4 linked regions of the Callithrix jacchus genome follow. The protein of the gene in region 1 purifies or fractionates together with the protein of each later gene. This does not show direct contact. Links are inferred from orthologs where the notes say so. Each region holds a gene or a part of one and is shown in the gene's direction. Other genes may lie near its edges.

Region 1 (7,249 bases):
TAAAAAAATTAAACTTACTCTAATGTCCAAATTGAAAGTATTTTTATTTTAGAGTAAGATGTAGAAAACACATGAATCGTGGTTTCCTTGACCACTCCCTCTGAGTGGCAGGATCCAGGTTTGTGTTTTCATCTATGAATGTTAGCAGATGCAAGGGGCTTAAAGACCCAGAACCCATCCACCTAGTTGCAGGTGAGAAAATGGGTCCAAACAGGTTAAGGTTATTTATGGGGAAGGAAAGTATCCAAGAGTATAGGGTTGGTGGAATCATAGAAATATAATGGAGCTGGATGGGAATGGAAAGGTTCTTAGTTTAAGGTTCTCAAAAGGTAGTGGTCCAGGGTCAACTCTTAAGGGCGAAGGAGCTTCTGAGTAAGGGTTTGACAAAGAGCTCTTCAGCTTTGAAGAGTCTGAAAGCCGCCGCTTCCAATGGAATGTTCACATTTTCAACTGAGGAAATGGGAGGTGAGAGAAGTGCTCAAGAGCCTATGCCCCACAGCCAGGGGCTTTTTCCTTCTTTTAGGTTAACATTTATTTGGCATTTGTTAGTTGCTTGGAGTTATTCTAAATGCATTCTAGGTGTTATATATTCACAGCAGCTTTGAGAGATGAGCGCATTTTACAGAGGTGGAAACTAACACCTTGAGAAAGTGCTAGCATCACAGCTGGGCATGATCTAGGCTCTTAAACACGGCACTGCTGCCTTCCCCTACGGTGAATGTCACCTGTGACAGGGGGATCCATGTCCCAGTCTTGTTCCTATGAAGAGTGGAGCACAAACACCGCTCCTAGGGTTCCTTTACCAAGGACAGGGGCTGTCAGAACAGGGAGGGTGGGGTAGAAATCTGTCAAGGTGGTGGAACCCCAGATCTCAGGCCGCTGGCATGATAATTGTCTGGGGTTTGTGGAAACACAGTCCTCCCCTTTAAAAACATTGTGTGAAAATACCACATAACCTGACTTAGAGACTCTGTGGGCTGAAAGGGCTGTCAGGGGTGACCTGGTTCAGTTTCCAGTCTTGCATTCCTGACCACCTGCAGGCGCTGGTCCTTGGGCCTTTCTGGTCCTTGGGCCTTTAGGGAACCACACTGCCCCATGTCCTCTTACCACTGTTGTTTAAATCAGACCCCATTACTCCTGCCCTCCAGCACCAAAATGCCTCCTCCTAATACGTCCTAGTAGGTCCCCTGCCTCCAAGTCTTCCAGTCTATCCTTTGCACTTTAAATGTTAATCCCCAATTGTGTGATGTCATTCTCATTTGTACAGTTTTTTCTTAATTCCTCATCACCTCCAGGACAAAGCCTAAACCCTCTGCCCCACGGTAATAAAGCCCCTTTGTGACATGGTACCGAAAGAGAGCTTCATCCCTTTGTCCCATCACTCTCTGTCCCAGACCCTTTGCAGTTACTTTATTGAGCTACTCGTGCCTGCCTGAATGGACTTGAAAGTTCTTACCTCCATCTTTTACATCAATTGTTTCCTGCAAGAATTGTGCTTTCTCACATTCTCCCCCAATCCCTTCCCCACAGGAAGCCCTTCCCCCAGGCTGAGTTATGTCTTCTTCCTCTGCACCCCTACCGCACTCTGAGCATACCTCTCTGACCATTGGCTTGTTTGTTTATCTACCTTCCCACACAGTAAGCAGAAACTTGCCTGGTGTTCTTTTTTTCTCTCCTGTGCTCACAGCACAATGACCAGTATCTAGTAGATGCAGTAGCCTTTGATGAACAAGCCAGCAAATGGTTCTTTTCTTCCTTATCTGAACATACCATTATATTTTGACTTAGATTACATCTACCTACCTTTTGGAAAGATGGCCTTCAGCAAAATGCTTTTTAATATTGGGGAAGAACTGGGAAGTGAAGAACTGGCCGCCCTCAAGTTCCTGAGCCTGGACTACATACCACAAAGGAAGCAAGAACCCATCAAGGATGCCTTGATGTTATTCCAGAGACTCCAGGAAAAGAGAATGTTGGAGGAAAGTAATCTGTTCTTTCTGAAGGAGCTGCTCTTCCGAATTAATAGATTGGATTTGTTGAATAAATATCTGCACACTAGCAAGGAGGAGATGGAAAGGGAACTTCAGACACCGGGCAGTGCTCAGATTTCTGCCTACAGGTGGGTAGAAACTCCCAATGTGGGGGCTGCAAGGGTGGGTTGAATGGACAGTCTCTGTGGGCAGGGCTGATTGGGGCTTGTCTTTGTGGTAGCCTGTCTGGTGCCTGGGAGCCTGGCTGTGCCACAATTCTAGGCTTCTACAGAAAGACAGTGGTACCTTGGGTGGTCCTGCCAAAGGCTGTAAAATTCAGCTTCTCCCCACCCTAGAGAGAGTGGATAAACAAAGAGAAACCACATTCAGTATCACTTGGGAGGCTTTGGGAAGATGTCCCAGTGGAGCCAGATTAAGAAATTTAAGGGCCGTATGTATAATTCTAGAAAAACGCTAAGACCATAAAATAAAAATGTATTTTTCAAACTGAAACATTACTTAGAGGTATGCTGAAGTTATAATAAAGTTTTCTAAGTGTTCTCATTTTGTTTTTCTTCTCTTATCTTGGTGCCTCTGCTTTGCTGATATCCAGATTGTGTGCTTACTTTGCCCATCCACTGAGTCCAGCATCACGGCCTCCCACCCTGAAATCCCCCTCCCACTTGCTTGTGGATGGCTATGGAAAATTTCAACAAGATTGACTCAAATGACAAAGTTCTTTACAGAGTTGTATGCAGCTGGCCTGGCACATACAGCTAGGCAGTCCCCACAGAGGCTGCCTAGCTCCTGTGAGCCCAGCTGTATGACAGTTCTAAGCTTCTATAGGAAGACAGTGGCACTTTGGGTCATCCTGCCAAAGGCTGTAAAACTTATCTTCTCCCCACCCTAGGGAGCATGGGTAACCAAAGGTGGGAGAGAGAAACCCCATTCAAATACAACTTCATGATGCTGGGACAAGACTTGAAAAACAGAAACACATTGTCACTTTCTCCCTTTCAGCATCTCCTGTTATTAGACACTCCTTAAAGCAATTTCAGCTCTGCTTTCGGGAAACTTCTACTTAAGCCTTGGCTCTGGGCCCATTTCATTTTCTCTGCTTGCTTGTCGATAACTGTGGCATGTGAGATGGAAAGGGCTCACAGCCAGAGCTGACAGCTGCTGCCCTCTGATGGCCCAGCCCATGAACACCCTGGTCTTTCTATTCTCAGAGACTATGTATTGTTCTGAGATTTGACTACTTTTTGTTTTGTTTTGCTTTTGAGACGGAGTCTCACTGTGTCGCCCAGGCTGGAGTGCAGTTGTGTGATCTCGGCTCACTGCACCTCCACCTCTGGGTTCAAGCGATTCTCCTGCCTCAGCCTCCCAAGTAGCTGGGATTACAGGCCCATGCCACCACGCCTGGCTAATTTTTGTATTTTTAGTAGAGACAGGGTTTCACCGTGTTGTCCAGGCTAGTCTCGAACTCCTGACCTCAAGTCATCCACCTGCCTTGACCTCCCAAAGTGCTGTGATTAAGGTGTGAGCCACCATGTCTGGCCAAGGCTTTACTATTTTGATTTTAAATGGTGAAAGAGATGTTCTGGGCCTGGGGTGGTGGCTTATGCCTGTAATTCCAGCACTTTGGGAGGCCGAGGCAGGCGGGTCACCTGAAGTCAGGAGTTCGACACTAGCCTGGCCAACATGGGGAAACCCTGTTTCTACTACAAAAATTAGCTGGGTGAGCTGAGATCGAGCCATTGCACTCCAGCCTGGACAACAAGAGCCAAACTCTGTCTCAAAAAAAAAAAAAAAGATATTTTGGGTGTATAAGTTTCCTAGGGCTGCCGTAATGAAGTAACCCAAGCTAGCAGGTTTAAAACAGTTTTTAAAATTTGTTCTCATAGTTCTGGAGACCTAAAGTCAGAAATCAAAATGTCAACAGCGTTGGTTTTCTTTTAGAGGCTCCGAGGAAGAATCCGTTTCGTGCTTTTCCCTGCTCTGGGTGGGTGCGGCAGTCCTTGGTGCTGCTTGTCTTGAAGATGCAGCACAGCAGTCTCTGCCTATGTTCCCTTCTCTGTGTCTAAATCTCCCTCTTATGAGGACACAGTTGCTGGATTAGGAATTAGAGTCCACTCTAATCCAGTATGGCCTCATCTTTTTGTGCATGTGTGTGTGAGACAGTGTCTCAGTACGTCACCTAAGCAGGAGTGCAGTGGTGCGATCTCGGCTCACTGTAACCTCCGCCTCCCAGGTTCAACCAGTCCTCCCACCTCAGTCTCCCAAGTAGCTGGAACTACAAGCATCCGCCACCATGTCTGGCTAATTTTTGTATTTTTTATAAAGATGGGGTTTTGAAATGTTGTCCTGGTTGGTCTTGAACTCCTGGGCTCATGGGATCTGCCCACCTTGGCCTCCCAAGTTCTGGATTACAGTGTGAGCTACTGCTCCTGGCCAGTATGACCTCATCTTGATCAGATTTTATCTGCAAATATCCTTTGTCCAAATAAGGTCACATTCTCATATTCCAGGTAGACATGAATTTTGGGGAAGAGGGGAGGACACTATTCAACCAGTATGCTAGATGGCTTTGGTTTACAAGAATTGTGAAGTCTTTTTATTTTTTTTTTTTGAGACAGAGTCTCGCTCTGTTGCCCAGGTTGGAGTGCAATGACATGATCTTGGCTCACTTCAACTTGCACCTCCCGGGCTGAAGCAATTCTCTTGCCTCAGCCTCCCGAGTAGTTAGGATTACAGGTGCCCACCAGCGCACCCAGCTAATTTCTGTATATTTAGTAGAGATGGGGTTTTGCCATATTGGTCAGGCTGGTCTCGAACTCCTGATCTCAGGTGATCTGCCCACTTCAGCCTCCCAAAGTGCTGGGATTATAGGCATGAGCCACTGTGCCTGGCTCTACCCCATTTTTATTTTCAGAATTTTACTTTCTAATTAAATTTTAAAGTCAACCTGTTTTGTATTACAATTGTTTTCCTTTACACCATAATATTGAAAGGTTTGCTGACTTCTAAAATGTTCCTGTGTTCACTTACTCAACAAGCATATTCTGAGAGCCTAAATGTGCCGGCCTAAATAAATGTGATAGGCATAGATTAGGAAATAGTAACGCCTATCACTCATTGAACACTTAGTGTGTTGTCAAAGATTGGTTCCAGTACTTCACATGAACTTACTTGTGTAATCCTCAACACCTTCCTATGATGTGGTTACAGATAATTATCTTCAGTGTATGGATCAGGAACAATGTGTAGCATGTCTAAAGTTAACGCTGCTCAAAGATGGTAGAACCAAGGCTCCAACACCAATAGCCTGGGTCCTCTGTACTCAAACATTGCACCTCACAACCCTCTGGGTTAATGAAAACAAAAAGGGCATGGACCTGGCCATTAGGGACTTGGACAGTTTCTAAACAGACAATTATTTTTTGTTTTTATTTTTATTTTATTTTTAGTGCAGTGGCATGATCACAGCTCACTGCAGTGTCAACCTCTTGGGCTCAAGTGATCTTCCCACCTCATCCTCAGGAGTAGCTAGGACCATGGGTGCATGCCATCACACCTGGCTGATTTTTAAACATTTTTGGTAGAGATGGGAACTTGCTATGTTGCCCAGGCTGGTCTCAAACCCCTGGGCTCAAGCGATCTTCTTCTTGCCTTGGCCTCCTAATGTGCTGGAATTATAGGTGTGAACCACTGTACCAGGCCAAAAGACAATTATATGTGTTATCCTTCTGGGGATACTAAGTCATAGTGGAATGAATGCAGCCTTGAGGATGCTCAGGCAATGCTTGAGCTGTTGTTCATGGATGGGTGTCTGCGGATAGACAAGGGGATGGGGTGTGGGGGCACAGCAGAAAGGGGTGAGGGCAGGGCAAGCTGGGTGTGTTTGGAGCTTCAGGTCCTTTAGTGTTTGTGGTCTGGTCTGTGATAAAGATGTATTCAGAGACTTTGTATTCCAGAACCAAATGCTTGGCCTTCTTACCGAAGGTAATGACTGGGAGAACACTGACCAATTTTAGTTAGCGATGCCACAGGCCAATGTGTCCTTTGAAAACTTTTTGCTGTTGCAACAAAATCTTGATTTCATAGAAAAAAAATAAAGGAAAACAAGATTAATTTAACTAAAATAAACTGAAAGAAAAGTTGATAGAACTTTAAATTGTTAAGGGTGGGATAGTTGGGGAGGAGTCGTAGACTTCTGTGTCGCTATATACCTGCCTCTTTCCAAGGACTCAACTCGTAAACCATGCCATTAACTGGCTTTATTTTGAAGGGAGGCCTTTGGAATCAAGCCCACTCTGACTCCATATATCAAATGGGACATTACTTAGGAAAAGGTTTCTAAAGTGTCTCCATTTCCCACCACAGGGTCATGCTCTATCAGATTTCAGAAGATGTGAGCAGATCAGAATTGAGGTCTTTTAAGTTTCTTTTGAAAAAGGAGATCTCCAAATGCAAACTGGATGATGACATGGTAAGATCTGGTATCTTACTGAGATTTAGTCCCGAAACTTGGTTAGCCAGGGACATTTCTGAGACCAAAGTGAGGGGCTATTTTGGTAAAAGCAACCTGGATTCTCACTTTTTAACTAGAATAAGAAAGCTGTCAGCACAAGTGTTACAAATGTGCTTCCTTTATCCTCAAGTACTGCTCCTGTTAATTACTGGTAGCAAGGTTGAGTCAGGGGCTGGGAGAGGAGGCTGTTGTGCAAGGGGCAGCCCAGAGTGAGACTCGGCAGAGGCGAGAGGGACAGTGGTGATCTGAGACATTTCCCCACTTCTGCAGTCCCCAGAATAACCTGGGACCTGGAACTCTGGGTGTATATTGTGTCTGTGTGTGTGTTTGTGTTTTGTGTCTCTGTGTGTGTTGTGTATGTCTGTATGCTGTGTGTGTATCTCTGTGTCTGTGTGTGCCTTTCTCTGTGTATGGTGTGTGTCTGTATTTGTGCGTGGTGTATCTTTGTGTGTCTCTGTATAAGTGGTGTATCTCTGTGTGTTCTCTCTGTGGTATGTGTGTCTGTGTGCATGTTGCATAGTGTGTATTTGCATTTATGTCTCTGTGTGTGTATCACTGAATGTTGTCTGTGTGTGTTGTGTGCATCTGTGTGTGTATGTTCATGTGATATCTGCATCTATGTGTCTTTGTGTACTCAGTTCTGGAGAGGCAATGTTGGGGGTGAGGCCATCCCAAGGCTGTCACCATGGTGACTGGATTGCTGTCTAGGACTGTTTCACAGTCCTCAGGTAATGCATTCATAGGAGAT
Region 2 (7,877 bases), on another chromosome or scaffold:
AATCCAGGAGGCGGAGGTTGTGGTGAGCCGAGATCATGCCATTGCACTTCAGACTGGGCAAAAAGAGTGAAACTCCATCTGAAAAAAAATAAATGAATAAATAAATAAGATTGGAAAGGAAGAACTGAGACAGTTTTTAGTTACAGTCAATAGGATTGGTTACATAGAAAATCCTAAATAATTATAAAATAACAACTAGAAACATTACATCTTTTTAACAGTACCATAGGATACAAGGCCAATGTACAAAAATCAATTGTATTTCTGTATAGTTGTAACAAATAATTTGAAAATAAAAGAAGCAAATTACACTAGCAATAGTAACAAAAATATTTAGAAATATATTTACAAAAGATATGCAAAACCTGTATCTGAAAAGTTTGTGAAATATTGTCAAGCTTAAGTAATGAATATCTAAATAAATAAATCAATTTCATAGATTGGAAGACTCAAAATCGTTCAAATGTCTATTATTCCCATTGATCTCTACATTCAATGCAATCCCAACTAAAGTCCCAGCAGGCTTTTTTACTTGAAAAAAAAGGATTCTATATAAAATATATGTGGAAATGCAAACCATTTTTAGGGGGCAGGCAGGGGGAGGACTTGAAATCCCTGATTTCAAGATTGACTATACAGCTCATAATTAGGACAATGTAGTAGTTAGCATGACATTAGCCAAATAAAGATAAATGGAGTAGAATGGAGTCCAGAAATGAACACACACACACACACACACACACACACATGATCAATTTAATTTCAACAAAAGTGATAAGGCTATGGATAAGGACAGAAAATCTTTTCAACAAATGGTGTCCGAACACCTGTGAAAACATGGAGAAAAATGCACATCAGCCAGAGCCCCGTTTCTCTTACCCACTCAGCCCCGTGGTCGCCCTGGGAGCCCTGCGCGGGCAGGACTGTGACTCGTTTTCCTTTCGGGAGGCCGATTTCCCACGCCGGGGCCCGCGCAGCGCTAGGTGCAGAGGAACTGCTGGCAGGACCTACCCCACATTGGACCCCAGCCAGGACGCATTCCCTGTCACGCGCCAGGTAGTCTCCCCTGGTTTAAGGGCTTTCAAGACTCTTAACAGGTTAGGAAGATCCAGAAGAAAGGCGGAATTGGGTACCTAGGGCTTGCCTGACACCGGGGACAGTGGAGCTGAGGTGACATTTCACTGGCATCGAAACCTGAGACTACCAGCAGGATGGGTCCCTCGTCGACGGAGGGTATCGACGGAGGAGGCCGTAGAAGCCTTCAGCGGCCCGGAGTCCACATCCCGCGGTGGCGGCCTCTGTAGCCTTCATTTCGCCACCATCCGCCCACCAAGCGCCTGCTGAACGACAGGAACCCGGCTACCCAGAAGCTGAGGTCGACTCCTGCTGAGAGAAGGCTAATTAATGGAAGGGAGTCGGGAGTGGGTTTCGAATAAATGCTTGTGGCCGGGCGCGGTCGCTCACGCCCTTAATCCCAGCACTTTGAGAGGCCTAGGAGGGCGGATTACCTGAGATCGGGAGTTGGAGACCAGCCTGGCCCAAATGGAGAAACCCGTCTCTACTAAAAATACAAAAAATTAGGCGGACGGGGTGGTGGGCGCCTGCAATCCCCGCTACTCATAAGGCTGAGGCAGGAGAATCGCTTGGACCCGGGAGTGGGGAGCCGAGACTGCGACATTGCACCCCAGCCTGGGCAACAAGAGCGAAACTCCGTCTCAAAAAATAAATAAATAAATAACTAAAAGAATAAATGCTTGTCGAAGCTCTCATGGAGGATGAGAGAGATTAAGCTCTGGCTAAAATAAAGCCAATATCGCCACTGCTTGGAGGATTAGCCTCTGCTCGGGGTTACCATCAGCCAATTAGAAAGACACGATTCCTATGCCTTCTCGTTCGATAAAAAGTTGAAGGCTGTTGTTGGCAGTAACCAGAATTAATATGATGAGGAAAATAAGTATTTGAAAAATTGATTGATATTAGGGGTCTGAGTTTATATATCATATTAAGCATTCGACAATAGATCAGGTAACAAATAGTGCTACTGGGATGAATATTGTGGAGAAGTAGTCTACTCTGAAGCTTAGTGAGAGTTTAAGAGTTTGGATTGTCGTTCCGTGTCAGTTTGAGATAATGACTTCTTGGCATGTGCATATAAATATTGCTGTAGGGAGGAGGCTAATGACGAAGGCGCATGCGATAGATATTTTTACGTAATTTGGGTATGAACCTTTTTTGCAGGGGCTGGTTAAGGTAGTAATAATCGGTTAGATTAAGGGGATTAGGGCAATTATAGCACTGGAAAAATACATGTTTATTACTTTTATTTGGAGTCCTAAGACCCACGGATGACTCTAATCCTTTAAAAGTTGAGAAAGCCACCTTGTTAGGCATGGGGCGTGAGTTAGCAGTTCTTGCACACTTTCTCGGTAGATAAGAAGTTGCAGGCCTCTATTACTAGATCCACAATCTAATGTTTTGGTTAAACTATAGCTACAGCATGCAAATCCCATAATACTTTTAGGGTTTAAGAATAATAGGAAGATAGGAAAGCCTCGCGCTGGGACTAAATGGCAAAGCGACTCCGAATGCAGCGGCATCCAGGCGGCGGGTGAGGTCGAGGGACAGCAGCGGGGGCGGGCAAAGAGGAAGGAAGTTCAGGGTTCACCAACAGGAGTCTCAGGTGCCCCGAGAAGGGGGAGGGATCAGGTGCCTTGACCCAGAGAATGCCAACTTTGGTCTTACCAGAGCGCAGTGCTTCTTGGATTGACGCTGTTTGACGCAATCGCCAGCTGGAGTAAAGCTGGGCGCTTTCCTGGCAGCGACTCCGAATCTAGGGAGCTCAGCGAGAGGTTCAGAGGCAGTCGCGGCCACACCCAGCACAGCTAGGGGCTCCTCCGCGTCGAGGATTGAACAGCGGGGCGGGGGCCGAGGAGCGCTGCCTACCCCATGAGACAGCCGGGACCCTGCGCCCAGGCTCCCTCGAGGGCCCGGGCAGGGCGCGCCCCAGGACCCAGGCGGGCGCGAGGAGCGAGGCCCCGGCTCCGAGTCCCCCAGATTTTCTTCTCCGTCGTCGTCGTCGGGGTCTTGCTGTGGGTGAGTCCCCACCGCGGTCCCTGCTGGGGAAAAGCGCGCCTGGCACAGGGAGGAGGCAGGGAGAGAGGGGGACGCGACGGGGTGCCTGGCCTGGGTCGCCTGTGGCCGGACGTGTCCGTGCAGCAGGAACCCGTCGTAGAAGTCGGAAGAAGAGTGGGGTCCCTAGGGTCTGGCAGGAGTGACCTGCGCCTGGAGGGAGCAGAGAGCCCTAACCGCCTCCCCACAGGAGTCTGGGCCGGGGGACTCCACCCTGTCCTCCGCTGCGTAGCGCGGCTCCCTCCTCCCAACGCCTCAAGATGTCTGGGGAGGTTTCGGAATCGGCAGAGCGAGCTCAAGTGTGTAAACTTCGAAGCTACCTCCAAGCCACACTGGCTGCGTGAAGGGGAGCGCAGGGGACATGTCTTTCTTCCCCCCCACCCCCCTCCGCACCCCCATCCTTCTTTTCGTTTCGTGTGTGTGTGTGTGTGTGTGTGTGTGTGTGTGTCTCGCTCGGTCGCCCGGGCTGGCTGGCGTGCGGTGGCGCGATCTCGGCTCACTGCAACCTCCGCCTTCCGGATTCAAGCGATTCTCGTTTCAGCCTCCTGAGTAGCTGGGGCCACAGGCGCCCGCCACCGCGCCCGGCTAATTTTTTGTGTTGTTAGTAGAGACGGGGTTTCACCGTGTTAGCCAGGATGATCTGGATCTCTTGACTTCGTGATCTGCCCGCCTCGGCCCCGAAAGTGCTAGGATTACAGGCGTGAGCCACCGCGCCCGGCCGCTTCATCCTTCTTTACTTAGACAAACGGGTTAAACGCGCGGCCCGGCAGGAAAAAGTAACTTTCTCTCCGCTGTCCGTAGTCTTCCGTTTCCTTCGAGTCCCATGAGCACCCCGGCAGCAGTTTCCTTCCAGCCATTTTCTTTTCTTTTTTTTTTTTTTTTTTTGAGACGGGGTTTCGCTGTTGTTACCCAGACTGGAGTGCAATGGCACGATCTCGGCTCACCGAAACCTCCGCCTCCTGGGTTCAAGCAATTCTCCTGCCTCAGCCTCCCGAGTAGCTGAGATTACAGGCACGCGCCACCATGCCCAGCTAATTTTTGTATTTTTAGTAGAGACGGGGTTTCCCCTTGTTGACAGGATGGTCTTGATTTCTTGACCTCGTGATCCACCTGCCTCGGCCTCCCAAAGTGCTGGGATTACAGGCGTGAGCCACCGCGCCCGGCCCCCCTTCCAGCCATTTTCTTGCACATGAACAGGTACAGGGCGGTGAATCAACTGCAGTGACACAGCCGGGACGGGGCATACCCATCCTGCAGAAGGCAGCAAACCGCGAAAGCAATCTGGAAAATGCCAATGCCTTCAGTTCTCTTTCATGTCCGCAGAGGCTCTGCCACTTGCTCTCTTCCAGATTTCTTCCACATCGAGGAAGCACGAAACAAAAGCTAAATAGCTCAAGGATAAAAACCAGTCTTACAGGTGTCAGGAAATTTCAAGTTTTTTTAACAAAGTAAACAAGATCCAGGAAACTAATGGCATTTTGTAATCTGCAAATAATTACAGAATTTATGTTTTAAACATCAGTTTATATGAGGTGGAACCCACGGTTGATGCTTACTTATTATTATTATTATTATTATTTTTTTTTGAGATGGAGTTTCGCTCTTGTTACCCAGGCTGGAGTGCAATGGCCCGATCTCGGCTCACCGCAATCTCTGCCTCCTGGGTTCAGGCAATTCTCCTGCCTCAGCCTCCTGAGTAGCTGGGATTACAGGCACGCGCCACCATGCCCAGCTACTTTTTTGTATTTTTAGTAGAGACGGGGTTTCACCATGTTGACCAGGATGGTCTCGATCTCTTGACCTCGTGATCCACCCGTCTAGGCCTCCCAAAGTGCTAGGATTACAGGCGTGAGCCACCGCACCCGGCCAGTGTGAGTCCAGGTAGATGTAGGGCTCACCTGTGTAGACAAGATCAAACATCTGAATGTGGTGGTTTGGGAAATGTGACAGTTGGTTTAAGTGGCTGTAAAAGAATACTTGAGGTTGTGTAATTTATAAAGAGGTGTATTTGGCACGTGGTTCTGCAGGCTACACAAAAAGCATGGCACCGGCATCTGCTTCTGGTAGGAAGATTCCACTCATGGCCAAGGGGAAGGACAGCTGGATTCTGCCCATCAGGGAAAGGGGATGGGGAGGACGGTGGGGGAGGGGAAAGAGTTGAGCAAAGGGACGGGGAGGGGCCAAGTTCATTTTAACAACCAGCTCTCAGGGGAACTAAGAGTGACAATTCCCTGCGGGGGATGGGAGAGGAGGTGGGTATGGCACCATGTCATTCATGAGGGATACACCCCATCCCCAGACCCCAACAGACCCCACCAGCTACGCTGGGGTTCAGATTTCAGCATGAGACCTGGTAGAACCCATAAGCAGACGCCAAGGCCTTCTGCCGTCCCACAGGACCCTCTCATCCCACCATCCAACAGCTTTCTACCTGTGCATTTATAGGCACCTTAGGTTTTAAAAATTCTGAGTGAACAACAAATCGCTTTAGGTGTTTTCCGTCAGTACCTGCATGTGTCTCACTCTTTTTAACAGCATCATTATATTTAGTGCATGGGTGAAACACATGGGGTGAACCACAGTTGATTTTAATTTTCCATCCTATGGACAATGGTTAACATGATATCCTCCCTTTGTGCTAATTCCAGCAGGATTGTAGTGAGAACCCTTGTATGTGTCACGTGTCCGTATATCCACGTTCACTGGAGTATTAGGCAGCTCCTGAGGAGAGGAATTGCTGGGTCAATGAGCTCATCAATTTAGAATTTTGTTTGGATGTTGCTAAATTGTCCTTTGGGAGAAGGTTGTGTCAATTTTACACTCACACCAAGAGTACCCAAGCGTGCCCGTGTCTCTGCACCCTTGCTACACAGAATTTTCATTCTTTCTTAGTCTAAGAGGTAAAAAAAATGATACATCCCAATGTTGTATTTTTTATTTCAATGTTATTAAAGATTTTCAAGGATCCAGGAATTTTTTGAGACTGGGAGTAGATGACTTTGAGACTCCAGATGAGACAGCAGGGGAGGGAGCAGGGAAGACTGCAGTCACACCTATGCATCTGGGAAACCGTGGTCAGCTGGGGCCAGTCCCTGCCACTCGCCATGCCTGTGAATGGAGATAAGGTCTCTGTCCTCAGCCTGTCAGGATAACCTCAGATGAGCCTAGAGATAAGCTCAGTTTCTGACCTCAGGTCCTGGCTCTGTCAGTGCTGGGCTGGTCCAATCTCTACACCACGTCCTTCCACCTCTCCCCTCTCTTTATCGCAGTAGGAAATGAGAAATTGTAAAGGCTCAGGAGCTCAGACCCTCAGGCTGTTAAAGAGCCCAGAGATCGGAGGCTGAAGACTGCCAGGGTTGGCTGTGCTGTTCTTCAGCTTGGTGACTCTTGTGTGGCCCTAGCTCCTTCTTATAAAATAGACGGATGTAAGAAAAAGTCCCCAGTGGCCCTGTGTAAACCGCAGTGGACTGTGTGGGCAGATGTATGCTGTCATGTGGGAGGAAAAATCACATCCTCAGCGACAGTGTCAGTCACTCTGAACTGGTTCCCCAGGGCACATGCCCTCCACCAGCAGAGGCTGCAGCCTATCCTACCTGCACCTCGGTATCAGCTCCCTGAGTTTGAGGCAGAAGCTTCTGAAGACTGGGGTGGAGCACCATGGGGAGGGGCTGTGGAGGAACAGAGGAGCCAGACTTCAAGTGAGGACAGCGATGGCACTGCAGGGCCACAGCCTGGGTTACCTGCCACACTTCAGTTGTCCTTCTAGTGGGCATGCAGCCCAGATTGCAGTTCGAAGAGTGAGCAGGAAATGTCTCCATCTAGGTGGCTGCAGCTGGCTGCTCACCCCGCCCCTACTGAGAAGCAGCAGTCCCAGTTATGGTCTTCTGTCCTGTATCTAGGAATGGCAGCGCAGTGAGGCTCTAGCTTTTAGCTTCCAGGTCGGGGATGGGGACCGTGGGGACAGTGCCATGCCCCAAGCCTATGCTGATGGACAGCTGATGTCCTCCTCCCAGCCAGAGACTGCACATCTTTGTTTAGGGTACTTTCCTACCCCAGAGAGATGGGGATTGTTGCTCTCATTTTGTTTGGAGAGAAAATGAGATTTAGGAGGAGGAAGTCCCCAGCATTTGGGACCTGGCCTGCTTGATAATAGCAGGTGCTTGTTGGTCTGCGAAGAGCCTCTCTTGGATTCCCAGGCAGGTATCTGTGATAATAGGGAAAGGAGAAAGAGTCTGCTTTGTAGGGAAGAGCAGGGTGTGCTCAGCACCTCAGACACCCGCCTGGGGTCAGGAGGAGATATGAATCATCACATTTTACAGAGGAGGGAACCACAGCTCAGAGGGGGAAAGTGTGTGCACCAGGGAACAGGCCAGTCTGTCCAGAGCAGTGGTAGGAATGAGGGAAACTAGGAATGACCACTTTAAAAAGTTAGATGACGAGAATTTCAAAGTGAAGGCATTGGAGTTTGCTGGTAATAGGTTTGTATGGCTTAGGTCATATTAAGTGCATCAAGCCCTTGCCCCATGTCTGCTGTTGGTCTCAGCACTGAGTGGAGGGAGAGGGAACAGTCTTGGTAAAGAGGAGGGAGGAGACACACCGCCTGGGGTGGGCTCTCTGCCGCTGCCTCCTCCTGCTGTGATTTCTCTGGCTGAGGCTGCCCCTCTCACCTGGCTTGTCTGTGGGAAGGAGACCTTTGTTCTCTGGCTGCTTTTTTTTTTTTTTTTAGCAGAATCTTGTTCTGTCACCAG
Region 3 (7,864 bases), on another chromosome or scaffold:
CCCTGTGCCTACAGGCCAAGGGCTGGGCCTAGCCTTCCACTTACAGCCCCTCCCAGAGACGACTTTGGGCCTCAGCCCTCACAGGGCCAGGGGCCCCATCATCTCTGACATCCCAGAAGAATCTCCATCCCCTGAGGGGACCAGGCTTTCTCCCTCCAGTGACGGCAGGAGGTAAGGGGGACAGGGCTGCCCCTGGGAGGCCTGTGGGGGAGGGGCTGGCAGCCCAGATGGCTGTGGGGGTACGGGGAGAAGTCAGTGCCAGGGTCTGGTTGAAGCTTTTCTCTGGTGCAGGGAGAAGGGCCTGGCACTGCTCAAAGAAGAGCCGGCCAGTCCAGGGGGGGATGGCGAGGCCGGGCTGGCCCTGGCCCCAAACGAGTGTGACTTCTGCGTGACAGCCCCCCCACCGCTGCCTGTGGCTGTGGTGCAGGCCATCCTGGAAGGGAAAGGGAGCTTCAGCCCCGAGGGGCCCAGGAATGCCCAACAGCCTGAACCAGGGGATCCCAGGGAGATATCCGACAGGTGAGTAGAGCCCCTGCTGGACCACGAGCCCTGTGATAGAACAGCCTTACCAACCCCCATAGCTTCCCAGCCATTTGACTCCATGATACTCACCTGACTTCTTGGCCCCAGCATCCAAGTCCCTTGGAAAGCAGAACCTCCCAGTCAGGGCACTCAGCATCTTTAGAAGAGCTCAGAAACCTACAGATTAAATGAGTTCCCTGGGGTGATTGTAAAGCATACAATAATTTAAGAAGCATTGGTGGCCATGAGATGGCTCATGCCTGTAATCTCAACACTTTGGGAAGCTGAGGTGGATGGATCACTGAGGTCAGGAGTTCAAGACCAGCCTGGCTAACATGGTGAACACCCCCCCACACTCTGCTAAAAATACAAAAATTAGCTGGGTGTGGTGGCGTGCACCTGTAGTCCCAGCTACTCAGGAGGCTGAGGCAGGAGAATCACTTGAACTTGGGAGGTGGAGGCTGCAGTGAGCCAAGACTGTGCCACTGCACTCCAGCCTGGGCAACAGGGAGACTCTTTTTAAAAAAAAAAAAAAAAAAAAGAAAGAAAGAAGAAACATTGATGTTAATATTTGCATAGGGAGGGGAGGGATCCCAAAGCCCTAGCTCCACCACCCAAACTTCAGGTCCCAGGTAGGAAGCAGAGGCACTCTCTGTGCCCCTTTATGGCAGGGGTGGGAAGGCTAGGGGTGGAGGGAGAATGGGGTCCTCTCCTATCATTTTCTAAATGTTGGGGTTTTAAATCTCGATGTGTCTGGGTTCCTTGGGAACTTAATGGGGGGAGGGGCAGACACTGCAAGCCAAAAGCATTTCTCTGTGCACAGCGGGCCTCTGGGCCTGGAGAGGGGGGACAGGAGCCCAGAGAGTCTGCTGCCTCCGGTGCTGCTTCGGCCCCCCCAAGAAAGTGTGGAGACTGCAGGGCCTCTAGATGTAAGTACCCCTTCTGCTGAAGCAGAGGCAAGAGGCCTGGTGGGGTCTCGCTCTCTGTGCAGCCTGGGGAGGGCACCAGTGACCCAGAGCTCTCCTCAGGTGCTAGGTCCCAGTCTCCAAGGGCGAGAATGGACCCTGATGGACTTGGACATGGAGCTGTCCTTGGTAAGAAGAGGGTTGGGGAAGGCAGAGACCAGGTGGCTGAGCCAAGCCCTCTGGTCCATGGCTGTTCTCTGTGAGCTGGAGCCGTGTCTCCAGGAGGACTGCTGCAGCTGCCCACTTAGCTGCTAGATCCCTTCCCAGCTGCTCCCTGTGGTTCTCACATGCAGATGCAGCCCTTGGTTCCAGAGCGGGGTGAGCCTGAGATGTCGGTCAAGGGATTAAATTCTCCAAGCCCAGGTAATGGTTGTGATGACTCCCACCTAGGAGAAGGGCTTGATTGGGCTGAGCTACCTTGATTGAGCAATGGGGCAATCTGAACTTTGCAGGGAAATTCCAAGTTCAGACTGCCCTGCAGAGAGTTCCTTGAGCCACCCATGCCCTCACCACTGGGTGAGAGTGGGGAGGTTAAGAATGGATGTTTCATCCTAACTGAGCAGAAAGCAGGTGGGCAGGGCTCTCCTTCCCTGATGAAAGGAGGGGGAACCTTTCCCTTCGTGAACACTGCCCAACTTCTCCTAGGGAAGGACCCCACGTTGGGGGCGCCACTCTTGCTGGATGTCCAGGCAGCCTTGGGAGGCCCAGCCCTGGGTTTGCCTGGGGCTTTAACCATTTACAGCACCCCTGAGAGCCAGACCGCCTCCTACTTGGGCCCGGAAGCCAGTCCCTCCCCCTAAGACCCTGGCCTCTGAAGGGGGCTCGAGTCAGTCCGCAGCTGCACACCCTTTTTGGCTTCCTGGCGCCCCCTGGCGGGGGTGAGCGAAGCCCCCACTACTCATCGTCCTCTCTCCACTACCCCGATTAGCCCTGCACATAAACTCCATTTTTTTTTTCTGTTTCTGGTCTCTTTTCTCTATCGGCCAGGGAGCACAGGAGTTGTGGATGGGGGTGATTTTGCATTTGTAGACGCGTTCAGTTACTAGGTCTTTAATAGAGGAACCCCGGTAGGGTGGAGATGGTTGGGGATCTGGTGCCTAGCTCCCCTGCCTAGGCCGGGATCCAGGGCAGGCGCTGGGCCGATGCAATCTCTGGGAAACGGGGGCTTCTGGGTCACATTCAGCTCTGCAATGCATGCGTTCTGTGATCCTGGGTGAGTCAGTACCCCTCTCTGAGCTTCCTCTGTGACAGGCAGGGAAGAGGGGTCGATGACAGGATAGATGCAAAGCACCTGGAAATTGGCAGGCCCTGAGTGGGCATTGGACGTGTGGGGCCGCGGGCCGAACTGACCCCTCCTGGCCTCATCTCCCGGTGCACCCCGGTTGGGGAGGGAAAGCTGACTACGTGCACGTCCCCAGCCAGCGCGCGGCCTCCGCGGCGTGGCTCCCAGTGCCCGGGGAAGAACCCTCACCCTCCCTATTCCCAGCAGCCCTGGCCGCCCCGCCCCCGCCGCAGCTGCTGCACCCACCCCCACCCTGCCGGGCCCTTTCTGCACCGTCATCTCCTGCCCCGCCGAGGTTCGACCCGTGAGTGGGGCCGCCCAAAACGGGCCAGACCGGGAGCCCCACTCCCGGCTGGGGGAGGGAAGGGAAACCGAGATTGGGCAGAATCAGCGCACCACTGGGTTGGGGAGGTCTGTGGGCCCCGCCCTGCCGCTGGACTCTCAGGCTCTGGGACTGAGTGGAGGGAGGTAAGGGGATCCGTGCGGTCGTACATCCGCAAAGGCTCCGCAGTGTCCCCAGACCCTGGCTCCCCGGCCAAAGAGCCCGAGCATCGAGCTGGGGTTGGAGTCTGGGACCAAGCTCCACGCGCTCGCCACCACCAGGCTCTCTGGGAAACATCTGACCCGTCGCCCTCGAAGGACTGACCGCTAAATAACTTCGGTATTGAGAACTGTTAAATCCTCAAAGGGAGAGCCCAGACCAGCTGGAAAAAGGGCAGGACTTGGGGTCATAGGAGGAGAAAGCTAACATGAGAACAATTTAGGCTGGAGTAGAGAGGAGGGGCCAATCCAATCTGCACCCTCCCTGTGTCTGTCCCGAGTAGGTACTCTCCCCCTCTCCCTTCCTGTGCCCACCGATTGGAGGGACACTGGAAGCCTCAGCTGAAGAAAACAGAGGATCTGCGTGTATACAATGCAGTGATATTGGTTATGTGGTGGTGAGGGCATATGTTTGTTTACTGGGTACACAGAAGAACCACCTGCCCTTGGGACACTTAGGCGTTGGTGTAGACAAGGGAACATTTGAGTCGTGGAGGATGGATAGGTCCATGAAGTGGAGGGAGGGGAAAAGGATTCCAGTCTTAGGGCATCAGCAAAGGCTCCAAGGTGCCAAGGCCATAATGAGTTCTCCCAGCCCTGACTGGTGGAGGGAAGCTGGGAAGGACCTGGCTGTCCAGGGTGGTGGGAGGAGGTTAGAGTAGCCAGACCAGATAGTTAAGGTCTGATAGGCAGTGGGGTGGGGTGGGGGGAGGTAGATAGATATTTAGGATGGGATTTTGCTAGACAGGAGAATATAGTTCAGTTCCTCATAGCTCAGGCTGGGGCAAGTAAGATTCCAGTTTTACCACTGAATCTCTGAGCCTATCTCCTCATCTGTAAAACGGGAACAGTAATCCTAGCCCAGAAAGTTGTCAAATTCACTGTGCTGTGGGGTCTAGTGGAATGGGAGTGAGAGGGCCTCAGACGGACTGTTACAGGACATGAGGTGACCATGGTGGGGTGGTGAGGCAGCAGCTGATGGATACTCACTGAGAAGTGGAGAAGCAAGACCTGTCACAGAAGGGACATAAAGAGAGACGGAGGTGGCTCGTGTCTGTAATCCCAGCACTTCAGGAGGCTGAGGCAGGTGGATCACCTGAGGTCAGGAGTTTGAGACTAGCCTGACCAACATGAAGAAACCCTGTCTCTACTACAAATGCAAACTTAGGTGGGCATGGTGGTTCATGACTGTAATCCCAGCTACTCAGGAGGCTGAGGCAGGAGAATCACTTGAACCCGGGAGGCAGAGGTTGAGGTGAGACAAGATTTTGCCATTGCCTTCCAGCCTGGGCAACAAGATCAAATCTCTGTCTCAAAAAAAAAGAGGGAGAGGGAGAGAGAGAGAGAGAAAGGGAGGGGCAGGGAGTAGTTCTGGTCTCAGCTTGGTAGCCCAGGAGGAAGGGCTTCAATGGGCAGGAGCCAGGGTGTGAAGTGACAGGAGCGATATAGTGTGACACCAGAGGGTACTGAGAGAGACCTGGGAGGCAGGATGGGGGCTAGAACCAAATCCTTTCTCCCAGAGAAGGCCCAGCCTCCTAGAGTCAGAGGAGGAGGCAGAGAAGGGACAGCAAAGGGAAGAGGAGATGGAAGGATGTTGTGTGAACAAAGGCAAGGCAGGGAGGAGGGGAGGTTATTATTATATATATAATAATATATATGTTAATATATAATAATATATATGTTAATATATATGTTTATATATATATATATATATTATGGGGGCGGGGGTGAGCTGAGGCCATGGTCCAAAGCCGGCTGTCTTTGCCTCCTAATGCCAGGGGTCTTGCTGGCTGCATCAGGCCACTCACAGGAATGGGCCATAATCCTCGGTTGGGAATAAATGGACAAAGCAGCCAGGTGCGGTGGCTCACACCTGTAATCCCAGAACTTTGGGAGGCTGAGGCAGGCAGATCACAAGGTCAGGAGTTCGAGACCAGCCTGGTCAACATAGTGAAACCCCGTCTCTACTAAAAATACAAAAAATGGCCGGGTGTGGTGGCTCAAGCCTGTAATCCCAGCACTTTGGGAGGCTAAGGCGGGTGGATCACGAGGTCATGAGATTGAGACCATCCTGGTCAAAATGGTGAAACCCTGTCTCTACTAAAGATACAAAAAATTAGCTGGGCATGGTGGCACATGCCTGTAATCCCAGCTATTTGGGAGGCTGAGGCAGGAGAATTGCCTAAACCCAGGAGGCGGAGGTTGCAGTGAGCCGAGATCGTGCCATTGCACTCCAGCCTGGGTAACAAGAGTGAAACTCCGTCTCAAAAAAAAAAAAAAATACAAAAAATTAGCCAGGCATGGTGGTGAGTGCCAGTAGTCCCAGCTACTCAGGAGGCTGAGGCAGAAGAATTGCTTGAACCCAGGAGACAGAGGTTGCAGTGAGCCAAGACCATGCCACTGCACTCCCCAGCCTGGGCCACAGAGTGAGACTGTCTCAAAAAAAAAAAAAAAAAAAAGGACCAAGCAGATTAATTTTCTCTAATAGCTGCTGTTTGGTAGAGATAGTCTCTCATGAGCCAGGTGTGGTGGTGCATGCCTGCAATCTCAGCACTTTAAGAGGCCAAGGCAGTGGATCGCTTGAAGTCAGAAGTTCAAGACCAGTCTGGCCAACATGATGAAACCCTGTCTCTACTAAAAATACAAAAATTAGCCAGGCATGGTGGTGCACACTTGTAATCCCAGCTACTCTGGAGGTTGAGGCATGAGAGTCACTTGAGCCTGGGAGACTGAGGTTGCAGTGAGCCCAGATTGTAGCACTGTACAACAGTGAGACTCCATCTCAAACAAACAAAAAACCATACAGTCTCTCAAAATAGGGAGATCCATGGAGGAAAATCCAAGTTCGGTGAGCATTTGTTGGTAGCTTGTATGAGCTAGGCCTTCTGTACTTTAAGATCAAACAAAATGTTTGTAGGTCATTCCCAGGTCAGCAGGGAGACAGGTGGGTCTCAGGTGATATCAAGAGATCTTGGTCAGAGCTAGGCCTGAAAAAGATTCTGGTATCTCTGCTCAGGAATCAGGGGACCAGGAAGGGTCATGAGACCACATTGGGGTTGCAGTATGGCGGTGGTGTTGGTGAGAGGATGCAGGGACACCCTGCTTGGAAGGGCTTGTCTTGGAAAGTTGCATCTCAGGGTCAAGGTAAGGGAAGAGGGGCAGGGAGGCTGTCAGCACTTTGTGCTCTGGGTGCAGAGAGGACTGGAGGGGAGAGTATGGAAGCAGGGAGCTCTGATCCCAGGTTCTGCAGGGCCAAAACAGGAGGCAGAAGGCTGGACTTCGTAAGTGCTGAGGATGGTGAGAGAAATATTCGGCAGACAGACTGGAAAGGACTTGTCTGCAAGCTGAGTGTGGAGTATCAGCTTCAATCCTATGTTTTTCTGCCTGGATAGGTGGGGAAGTAGATTTGAGAGAAAGACGATAGTTTGGATAAACAGGGTCTGAACCCAGCTCAGATCTGCTGGGGCTGGAGCTCAGAAGGTCCTGGTTGGGGAGGGCATTCAGACAGTAGATGCGAGTCCTGGGAGAGGCAGGGGAGGAGAGGAGAGCCACAGCTGACGTTTAGGGACAGAAGGAGGAGCCTGAGGAGGAGACAGGACAGAAGCGTCTGGAGAGGCAGGACGCTGAGTTCCCTGTGTTGGCCTCCAGGTCCTGTGCTTGCGGAGCTGACTGGAGGCTGGCATCGAGGTGAACTTAGACCCCAGTCTGGGTGTTCACTGGGGGCATTGAGAGACAGAGGTCAGAGGCGGCGCGGAGCAGGGAGGGCAATCACCTATTACTTCTCTCCCCTCTCCCCAAGCAGCTCCAACGATGGGCAACGCGCAGGAGCGGCCGTCGGAGACTATCGACCGTGAGCGGAAACGCTTGGTCGAGACGCTGCAGGCGGACTCAGGGCTGCTGCTGGACGCGCTGCTGGCGCGGGGCGTGCTCACCGGGCCTGAGTATGAGGCGTTGGATTCACTGCCTGATGCCGAGCGCAGGGTGCGCCGCCTACTGCTGCTGGTGCAGGGCAAGGGCGAGGCTGCCTGCCAGGAGCTGCTGCGCTGTGCCCAACGTACCACGGGCACACCGGACCCGGCCTGGGACTGGCAGCACGTGGGCCCGGGTGAGCGCGCGGGGCCGGGCATAGGGGAGGGAGGGGGCGGAGCAAAGGTCCGGGGAGGGCGGGGTTGTCGTCTCCCCCTGAAGCAGGCGAGTGTGGAAACAGCATCGGGGTCAATTGAGTCTCAGTCACTTCCACTTCCGTCCCAGGCTACCGGGACCGCAGCTATGACCCTCTGTGCCCAGGCCACTGGACGCCTGAGGCACCCGGCTCAGGGATCACATGCCCCGGGCTGCCCAGAGCTTCAGACCCTGAAGAGGCCAGGGGCCCTGAGGGCTCCGAGGCGGTGCAATCCGGGACCCCAGAGGAGCCAGAGCCAAAGCTGGAAGCCGAGGACTCTGAAGAGGCTGAACCCGAGCCGGAGCCGGAGCTGGAACCCGAGCCGGAGCCGGAGCTGGAACCCGAGCCTGAGGCAGAACCAGAGCCGGAACTGGACCCAGAACCCGACCCAGA
Region 4 (7,249 bases), on another chromosome or scaffold:
AACAAAAATGTCCCCCCATAGTAGAAAAATAAAACGAGGAGAAGAGTTTGAGGAATGGAGAATTTCTTTAGAATCCCATTGATCCTAGTGACAGAAGTTGAGAAATTACCTTTAAATAAGACAGCGAAGTAACAAATGTTAAAAAAAAAAAAAGTTAAGGGTAATATTGCATTGTTTGACACTTTAAAATGTATCTGAAACATTTGTTCTTTAATCTTAAGTGTGGAGAAGTCCAAGAACTGGAAACTTGGGCAGTGGGTTTTGATTTCTAAGGATTTGATTTCAACTTTACAGGCTGTGCAAGGCTAAACCTACCAATGCGAGCTCACTGGGGTGTCCAGTATTGACATTTGCATATCTTGCCTATGGTTTACAGCCCTCACTATTTTAGATCTTTGGTGAAAAATCTTTAGATTTGGAAGAGAAAAATAAGAGTCAGACAAGCAAAAAGAGATAGCACCTCTTTTGTTTAAAATCTTTCTCCTGCCCATCTCTTTCCATCTGATTGTGGCAGGCACTGTAGCCGCAGCTTTGGTGTTGTGGGATTGCAAGGGGCAGATGTTGAAAGACCTGGCTGCTAGGCTAAACTTTGCCCTTGAATGGCTGTGGGATCTAAGCAGTACCTGTAACTCCATTGCCTTAGCTGCACACTAAGGTGGTAGTGTGGTTTCAAGGAAATAAGGCCATCTTTGACTTTTAGTCCCTCATCAAGGATGGTGTTGGCCTTCATTAGGTGGTCAGGTAGGGCTTGTTGGGTGGATGGGTGGATGGGTGCATGGGTGGGTGGGTGGGGGGAATGGATGGACAGACTGATGGATGGACAATATTGTGAAAGAGACTTTTGCTGTGCCACAAAGGAAAGGTATATGTGTTATTTTTTGTTCTGCTATGATTTTGCCCAATTTCACCTGTAGTGGATGGCTGATATCAAAGGAAAACACCATCTGATCTGGAGAATGACTCCCCCTATGCCTTTCCCAGCAATCAGATTAAGAATCCCAATCTAAAACTATCACCAGAAAACTCCTCAGGAGAAACCATGGGTCATCTAAGTCCAACCTCTCTCCTTTGAGTGGGCCACAAGAATTTAGACCACCTTATCAATGGTGTTAAGAGAGCCTAGACCCACCCAGGAGTAGCTACCCTAAAATCTAGGTTTCTTCTCCTCCCTCTTCCATAGGTTTAACATTTTATCAACTGGAGAGTTGCCCTGACAAATAGGTTGCTGCAGGAGTGGAATTAATAATCTCTGTGAAATTTCCTAGAGAATGTCTTTGTGCTCTGAAAACATCTTCATCGTCTTGGAAATTAGGAAGTGTGGCCAGGCACCCTACAAAGGGCTAGCGAACCAGAGCTGGCTCTCCACGCGGTTCCGTACTGGAGAAATCCCACATTATGTTAATTCACATCATTCTGAGCTGTTGGCATGGGTTGTAGATGCTGGTCTTTGCCCCTTTCCTCCTTCATTTGCTGGAGTGGCCTCCTGGTGGAAACTTCCTTCCTTGTCTGCTTCTAGACTTTCATTCCTTCTGCTAGTTGCTTATGCTTAAAGATTTCAGGGTGAAAAACTGGGCAGACATGCATCTGTGTTAGGACCTGGAAGGTGATGACAGAATTTTATTGGCAGTTGAGTTGAAATGATTGAGCTTCAATATCTGTTCTTGGAAGTACAGAATTTATTGTTCTGTTATTATTTTGTGGTTTTTCATTTTTTGTTTTTGTAGAGACCTAGGTCTCAATATGTTGCCCAGTCTATTCTCAAACTCCTGAGCCCAAGTGATCCTCCCACCTCGACCTCCCAAAGTGCCAGGTTATAGGCATGAGCCACCGTGCCCAGCCTATTATTAGTCTGTTTCTTATTCTGATATGAAGTCTGGTGGGAAGGTTCTGAAGGAATGTTGACTGCTCTTAAAATTGCAGTGCATCTTGCTGGAAGTGGTTTTTTTGTTGTTGATTAGAAAACATTCCGCTTTAACTCTTTATAAACATCAGAATAAACTTTATGAATAAACACTGAAATACTTCTCTTTGGGGCTAAAGAGGAAACACCAACCAGGAGCCTAAATGACAGCATAAAATTGCAAGATTTTTCATAAAATAGTTTACCAGCATAGGGAGGGAGTGATTACTCAAGAGTTTGCCCAAGGGCAGGATTGCTTGGTGGTGGTCTGAAGGGAAGGAGCTATAGACTTGTCGGGGCTACATTGAGCCCTTAACTGGCATCCGGTACTCCCCAAATCCAGCGCTGTTCAGCGTGGTCTCAGAATGAAACAGGAGCTTCAGTTGATTTTGAGGAGCAGTACCTGTTGCTGACAGACAGGGTTGGCTCCCTGACAAACGTTACTGAAAACACAGGTTATTCCCCTCCTCCTCAGTACCCACTCTCTGCCTTCCGTCCCTTATTTAGACTAATCTTTTAAAGTGATGTAACTTAAAACAGCCCAGTGTGAGTTAATCTCTGGGCCAGCTAGTATCCCGGGAGTAGAGGTGCTAAGATCTTTTGCCTACAGATCAGGGTAATGACAAGATCAAACACTGGGGTTTCCTGCAGACAGGTATATAGGAGTCATATCAAAGTCAGGCTAATGGAATGGCTGTTTTTTTTTCTTTCCTTTTCAGGTGCTGGAGAGCACAATGGCCGAACAAGTCCTTCCTCAGGCTTTGTATTTGAGCAACATGCGGAAAGCTGTGAAGATACGGGAGAGAACTCCAGAAGATATTTTTAAACCTACGAATGGGATCATTCATCATTTTAAAACCATGCACCGATACACACTGGAAATGTTCAGAACTTGCCAGTTTTGTCCTCAATTTCGGGAGATCATCCACAAAGCCCTCATCGACAGAAACATCCAGGCTTCCCTGGAAAGCCAGAAGAAACTCAACTGGTGTCGGGAAGTCAGGAAGCTTGTAGCGCTGAAAACGAATGGTAAGACTTGCTCTGTTGTGCTTCTTTTGCCTGGGTGATAGCTTCTGCTTGCTGGGTCCCCATTCATGGAGCTTTAATAGCACAAGCCCAAACTCAAATCTCTTGAGATTTAGTAGACACTTTAGTGTAGAAACTCTATACGGGACATGTGATAAGAGCTGACTTGTTTTGTGAATCTATTTATTAAGGATATTTTCTGATTGTGTATATTGCAGAGCACATTGAGGCTTGGAGAATGCGTTTTTAATACTCCAATTAGGTGATTTGTTTCTAATGCTTGCAAATGTTTAATCATCTGTAAAATACCCTTCACTGGCTCGTAATGGAAATGTTAATAGCCTTAAGTTCAAAAGAAAAGCATGGTGTGAAAACTGGTAGTACGTTTGTTTCCCACTGTCATTAGAAAATGCGTGTGATGTTCTTATGCCTCTCGAATTGGTAGCATTTTATGGGTTAACCAGTGAATGGCTGTTGAAGACATGAGGAATTTCTTTTGTCTCCTCCTCCTCTCTGACCTGGTTCTACTGCCTATGCCCTGCAGTGTGAAATAGATCGATGCTGAGATTTTTAGCATGAGTTTTAGACTTCACCTTCATTATTTTTAGAGGTTCCTAGTCACTGAAATCCTTCCTGCCTGTGCTGTTCTGCCAATGGCCTTTACCAGGAGTAGCTATTTCCTATTCCAAGCTTTACTGCTTTATTTTTTAATCATTTCCCTTGGATAAGAATCTGTGCATCAACAGGAGTGTCTGTTGCATACAGTTTCATGCAGGCACAAAATTCTACTCTATGGATGTGGATAATTATTACAATAAGCAAGTGGACTGTACAAGATCAATTAAATGCTCATAGACTACATAAGACCAGGAATCTCAGATACTTAAATCTGTGACAGTCCCAAACCATCCTAATAAAAGTAAGATGTCCAAGAGCAGAAAATCATTGTTGACAATGATTACGATAAGAACACTGACTTAATTAACTTAATTGGTACATTAACTTTGGCTTTTTTTGACTTGGGTAACTTAGAGTGATTGGTGGATGTGGGTTTTTAAATTTTGATTCTGGGGGGTCTTGTACATTGCTTCAACAGCTTGCCTAGATTTATGAAACACTGATTCTTAGAAACATAGGTAGAAAGAAAACTAGGGATAGCTACTGTCTGCATTATTCTTGGCATTAAATTAAGTGATACATAGAGGTAGGTAATTATGTAAAGTCATCATGGGGTTTATGTGCCTGACAATTTGTGGTTTTAATCCTCTCCCATTTTGTTACTAAAAAGAGATAGAGTAAACTTTGGGGGAGTTGGAAAGAAAGATTCTGCTGAATTAAAAATGTGGTAGGAAGGGGGAAACCTTATTAAGAAAATTAACTGACTTTTTGCCTTGTTTCCTTAAGATAGGAAATGCTCGATTTCCACTAGGAAAAAAAAAGGGACTATAAATAGGAAACACTTATTTTGCAAACATGTCATTGAAATCAACAAGGAGTCACACTACAAATAAAACTACAAAAGCCAGGTGCATTTTGGTAACGTTTTTTGGGAAATCATTTTTAGACTCAGAATCCTTTTGTTTCTTCACTTTCTAGAAAACTCCTTAAGAGTCTAAATGTGGAAGAAAGGATATCGGGAGGGAGGAATACAAATGACTTTTTTTTCTTTGATTTTGATTAGCACCTTTTAAAAAAATAATAATAATCTTTCCGTTGATAGGAGGGTTATTCAAAGGCAATATCTGGGGAGGGGGTGATTCACAAGTTTGCATTTGAGGATATGAGACTGTGGTGAATGAGGAAGGGAGTAGGTGGCATAAAATTGAAACTTCATGTGAAAAATTCCAGCGTCTATTGGCTGCAGCGATTTCACTTGTATAATGAGTAGCCCTATTCCAGCTCACCCTGACCACACCCACTTGGAAAGTCCAGGGTGCACCTCGCAGTTTAAATGTCTACACACCAGAACAAAAAGTACAATAGCTGTTGCTCAATTGCTAGTCAAATAACTTAGCACTGGGGAATTCCAGATGTTACTTAGGGAATTTTATACTGGTGCATCTCAATAAAGAACTGAAAGTAAGCACAAGAAGAAGAAAAAAAGCCTTATCTTTGCTCTAGATTTTGCAAAGGGGAAATTTCAACAGAATGCAATCATTGCTACACGTCTGCCAAGGCACAAGGCTTGGGCGATCTTTTTTGTCCATTTGTTTGAATACTTACTTAGCTAGTTTTTCTAAATGTGTAACTTGAAGGAATACTGGCTGTGGATACATATTTGAGGGTTTTATTGGTCTCTTTATAGTTTGACTGTAATTATAATTTGATAACATTTCAAATAGCATTATTGCCCTACTTATAGAGTAATATGAGAAACAGTTTAACTTTTCTTTATAAAGATTATTTTGTATTTGCCAAAAGATACCAAGGAGTTAACTTTTTTGTTTTAAACGTTTCCCCAAAAGATTTATTGTTTGGAGGTTGAAAAAAATGCAGCCCATTGAATTGTGAGTTTTAAACTGGAAGGGTCACAAATGAATGGCATACAATTCAACCTGCTTTTTTTCTTTCTCAAAATGTCAGCCCTAAATACTGAATTATTTTCAAATGTAGACACCCAGGTGCTTTTTAACTTTTGTACTTTACAGTTACTAACAAGCAGGTTTGCATAACGCGTTTTTGAGAGCTGGACTGGCAGGCCATAGGTAATTCAGTGTTGCCAACCTCACTTTACACACCAGGAGAGGAAACTCCCAGGGCCCAAAGGCTAAAGGGGAATGGTCAAGTCATTTGCCATTGAGTCATAGCCATACCATCCCAGTCTAGCAAGCCATGCCCGCTTCCTGGTTTGTGCATGTTGCTCTGTGTGATCTTCCTTAGGATTAGAGAGCAGCAATGCCAGTGCCTTCACCAGCAAATCAGGGGATAGTAGAAAGGGATGGGGCTTTAGAGATCATCACTCAGTGCCCTCATTTCACAAAGAGGAAAAATGCCCAGAGAACCTAAGGAATTTCCCCCAGGTCACCTAAATGAGTTAGGAGCAGAGTTAAGCTAGAACCAAGGTCCCCTGGCTCCTTTGCTGTTGGTGTCATTCATTAAAAAGAAAAATGAAAAGAACTGTTTTTTCCTTAAAGCTGTCATTATCTTGTGAAATACCAATTTGTACTTGACTAGGAAATTAAACCACTCAATGACCTAGCACAGTAGCAGGGCTGGTTTATTCTGAAAACCTTTGCTGGACCTTAAATGCAGATAACTTGATTTTCCTTCTCTTCTCCTCCTTTCTGTCCTCAGGTGATGGCAATTGCCTCATGCATGCCACTTCTCAGTACATGTGGGGTGTTCAGGACACAGACTTGGTACTGAGGAAGGCGCTGTTCAGCACGCTCAAGGAAACAGACACACGCAACTTTAAATTCCGCTGGCAACTGGAGTCTCTCAAATCTCAGGAATTTGTGGAAACGGGGCTTTGCTATGACACTCGGGTATGTATTGCCCCCTAATTATCTATTGACAGAACTCCATGGTGGGCATAGGGTACCCCTGGGTGAGTCCCTGCCCTCTGGTAGCATCTAATGGCCCAGGTCATATGAATTTGCCTAAGTGAAGCATACTCAATGGAAAACACCAGAAACCTATGGGACTAACCCAAGGCTTTTGCCACTGCTTTTGGTTAGCAGATTCCCAGCTGTGGATCTGTTCCCTCTAGCAGCAGGTCTTCTGCTCATGGCCTTTTCCATTGGTGTTTTGTTGTTTTTCAGTTTGATTGCCCTTAGCTTTGCTGAGCCAGCCAATAACATTACAACACATGCCTCACCATCCTCAGTCACAAGTTTGGAATTTTTGTGAACATTTGGATGAGGGGCTGCAATGTGATACCTCATCAGGGATTTTTTTTTGTAAGCAGGTGCTGTCCCTGTCCTCCCCAACTTTTGAGTTTGCCTTGTAGTAGAAAAGAGTAAAGAAAGAAAACCAAAATGGGGCAAAAAGGATGATCATTTGAATGATGGTTTCATGAAAGGGGAAAAATAAGCTGAGTTATATAAGTGAATAATTGCGGAGTGATGTTAGAATGACTTTAGCATAGGAGTACAGGGTACATTCAAGCTTTTTGTCCTCTTTCACCTCCTCCCCTTAGAACTGGAATGATGAATGGGACACCCTTATCAAAATGGCTTCCACAGACACACCCGTGGCCCGAAGTGGGCTTCAGTACAACTCACTGGAAGAAATACACATATTTGTCCTTTGCAACATCCTCAGAAGGCCAATCATTGTCATTTCAGGTGAGATGCCTGCAGATCATGTATCTGTACTTAAATG

Evidence for each region.
Region 2: the proteins of CASP8 (region 1) and TNFRSF10A purify together in Homo sapiens (affinity purification with western blotting; 13 studies listed by BioGRID and IntAct, counting the BioPlex papers as one, with this or other methods). This does not show direct contact. The link is inferred for Callithrix jacchus from reciprocal best matches to the Homo sapiens genes CASP8 and TNFRSF10A.
Region 3: the proteins of CASP8 (region 1) and NOL3 purify together in Homo sapiens (affinity purification with western blotting; 3 studies listed by BioGRID and IntAct, with this or other methods). This does not show direct contact. The link is inferred for Callithrix jacchus from reciprocal best matches to the Homo sapiens genes CASP8 and NOL3.
Region 4: the proteins of CASP8 (region 1) and TNFAIP3 purify together in Homo sapiens (affinity purification with western blotting; 3 studies listed by BioGRID and IntAct, with this or other methods). This does not show direct contact. The link is inferred for Callithrix jacchus from reciprocal best matches to the Homo sapiens genes CASP8 and TNFAIP3.

The regions. Positions count from the first base shown.
Region 1 is NC_133507.1:122,359,438-122,366,686, forward strand, and holds part of CASP8 (caspase-8), read left to right. Parts: intron 1-1,788; coding exon 1,789-2,119; intron 2,120-6,353; coding exon 6,354-6,459; intron 6,460-7,249. UniProt on the Homo sapiens protein: Thiol protease that plays a key role in programmed cell death by acting as a molecular switch for apoptosis, necroptosis and pyroptosis, and is required to prevent tissue damage during embryonic development and adulthood.
Region 2 is NC_133514.1:18,237,176-18,245,052, forward strand, and holds the start of TNFRSF10A (tumor necrosis factor receptor superfamily member 10A), read left to right. Parts: upstream 1-2,826; 5' UTR 2,827-2,946; coding exon 2,947-3,093; exon of another isoform or gene 3,094-3,237; intron 3,238-7,877. UniProt on the Homo sapiens protein: Receptor for the cytotoxic ligand TNFSF10/TRAIL. The adapter molecule FADD recruits caspase-8 to the activated receptor.
Region 3 is NC_133521.1:24,677,042-24,684,905, forward strand, and holds the start of NOL3 (nucleolar protein 3), read left to right. Parts: upstream 1-3,038; 5' UTR 3,039-3,064; exon of another isoform or gene 3,065-3,372; 5' UTR 3,373-3,430; intron 3,431-6,896; exon of another isoform or gene 6,897-6,996; intron 6,997-7,108; 5' UTR 7,109-7,119; coding exon 7,120-7,414; intron 7,415-7,560; coding exon 7,561-7,864. Other genes in the region: HSF4 (heat shock factor protein 4), read left to right, coding at 47-171, 292-519, 1,346-1,451, 1,551-1,616, 1,781-1,850, 2,133-2,287.
Region 4 is NC_133505.1:144,646,953-144,654,201, forward strand, and holds part of TNFAIP3 (tumor necrosis factor alpha-induced protein 3), read left to right. Parts: intron 1-2,443; exon of another isoform or gene 2,444-2,516; intron 2,517-2,619; coding exon 2,620-2,929; intron 2,930-6,220; coding exon 6,221-6,411; intron 6,412-7,064; coding exon 7,065-7,212; intron 7,213-7,249. UniProt on the Homo sapiens protein: Ubiquitin-editing enzyme that contains both ubiquitin ligase and deubiquitinase activities.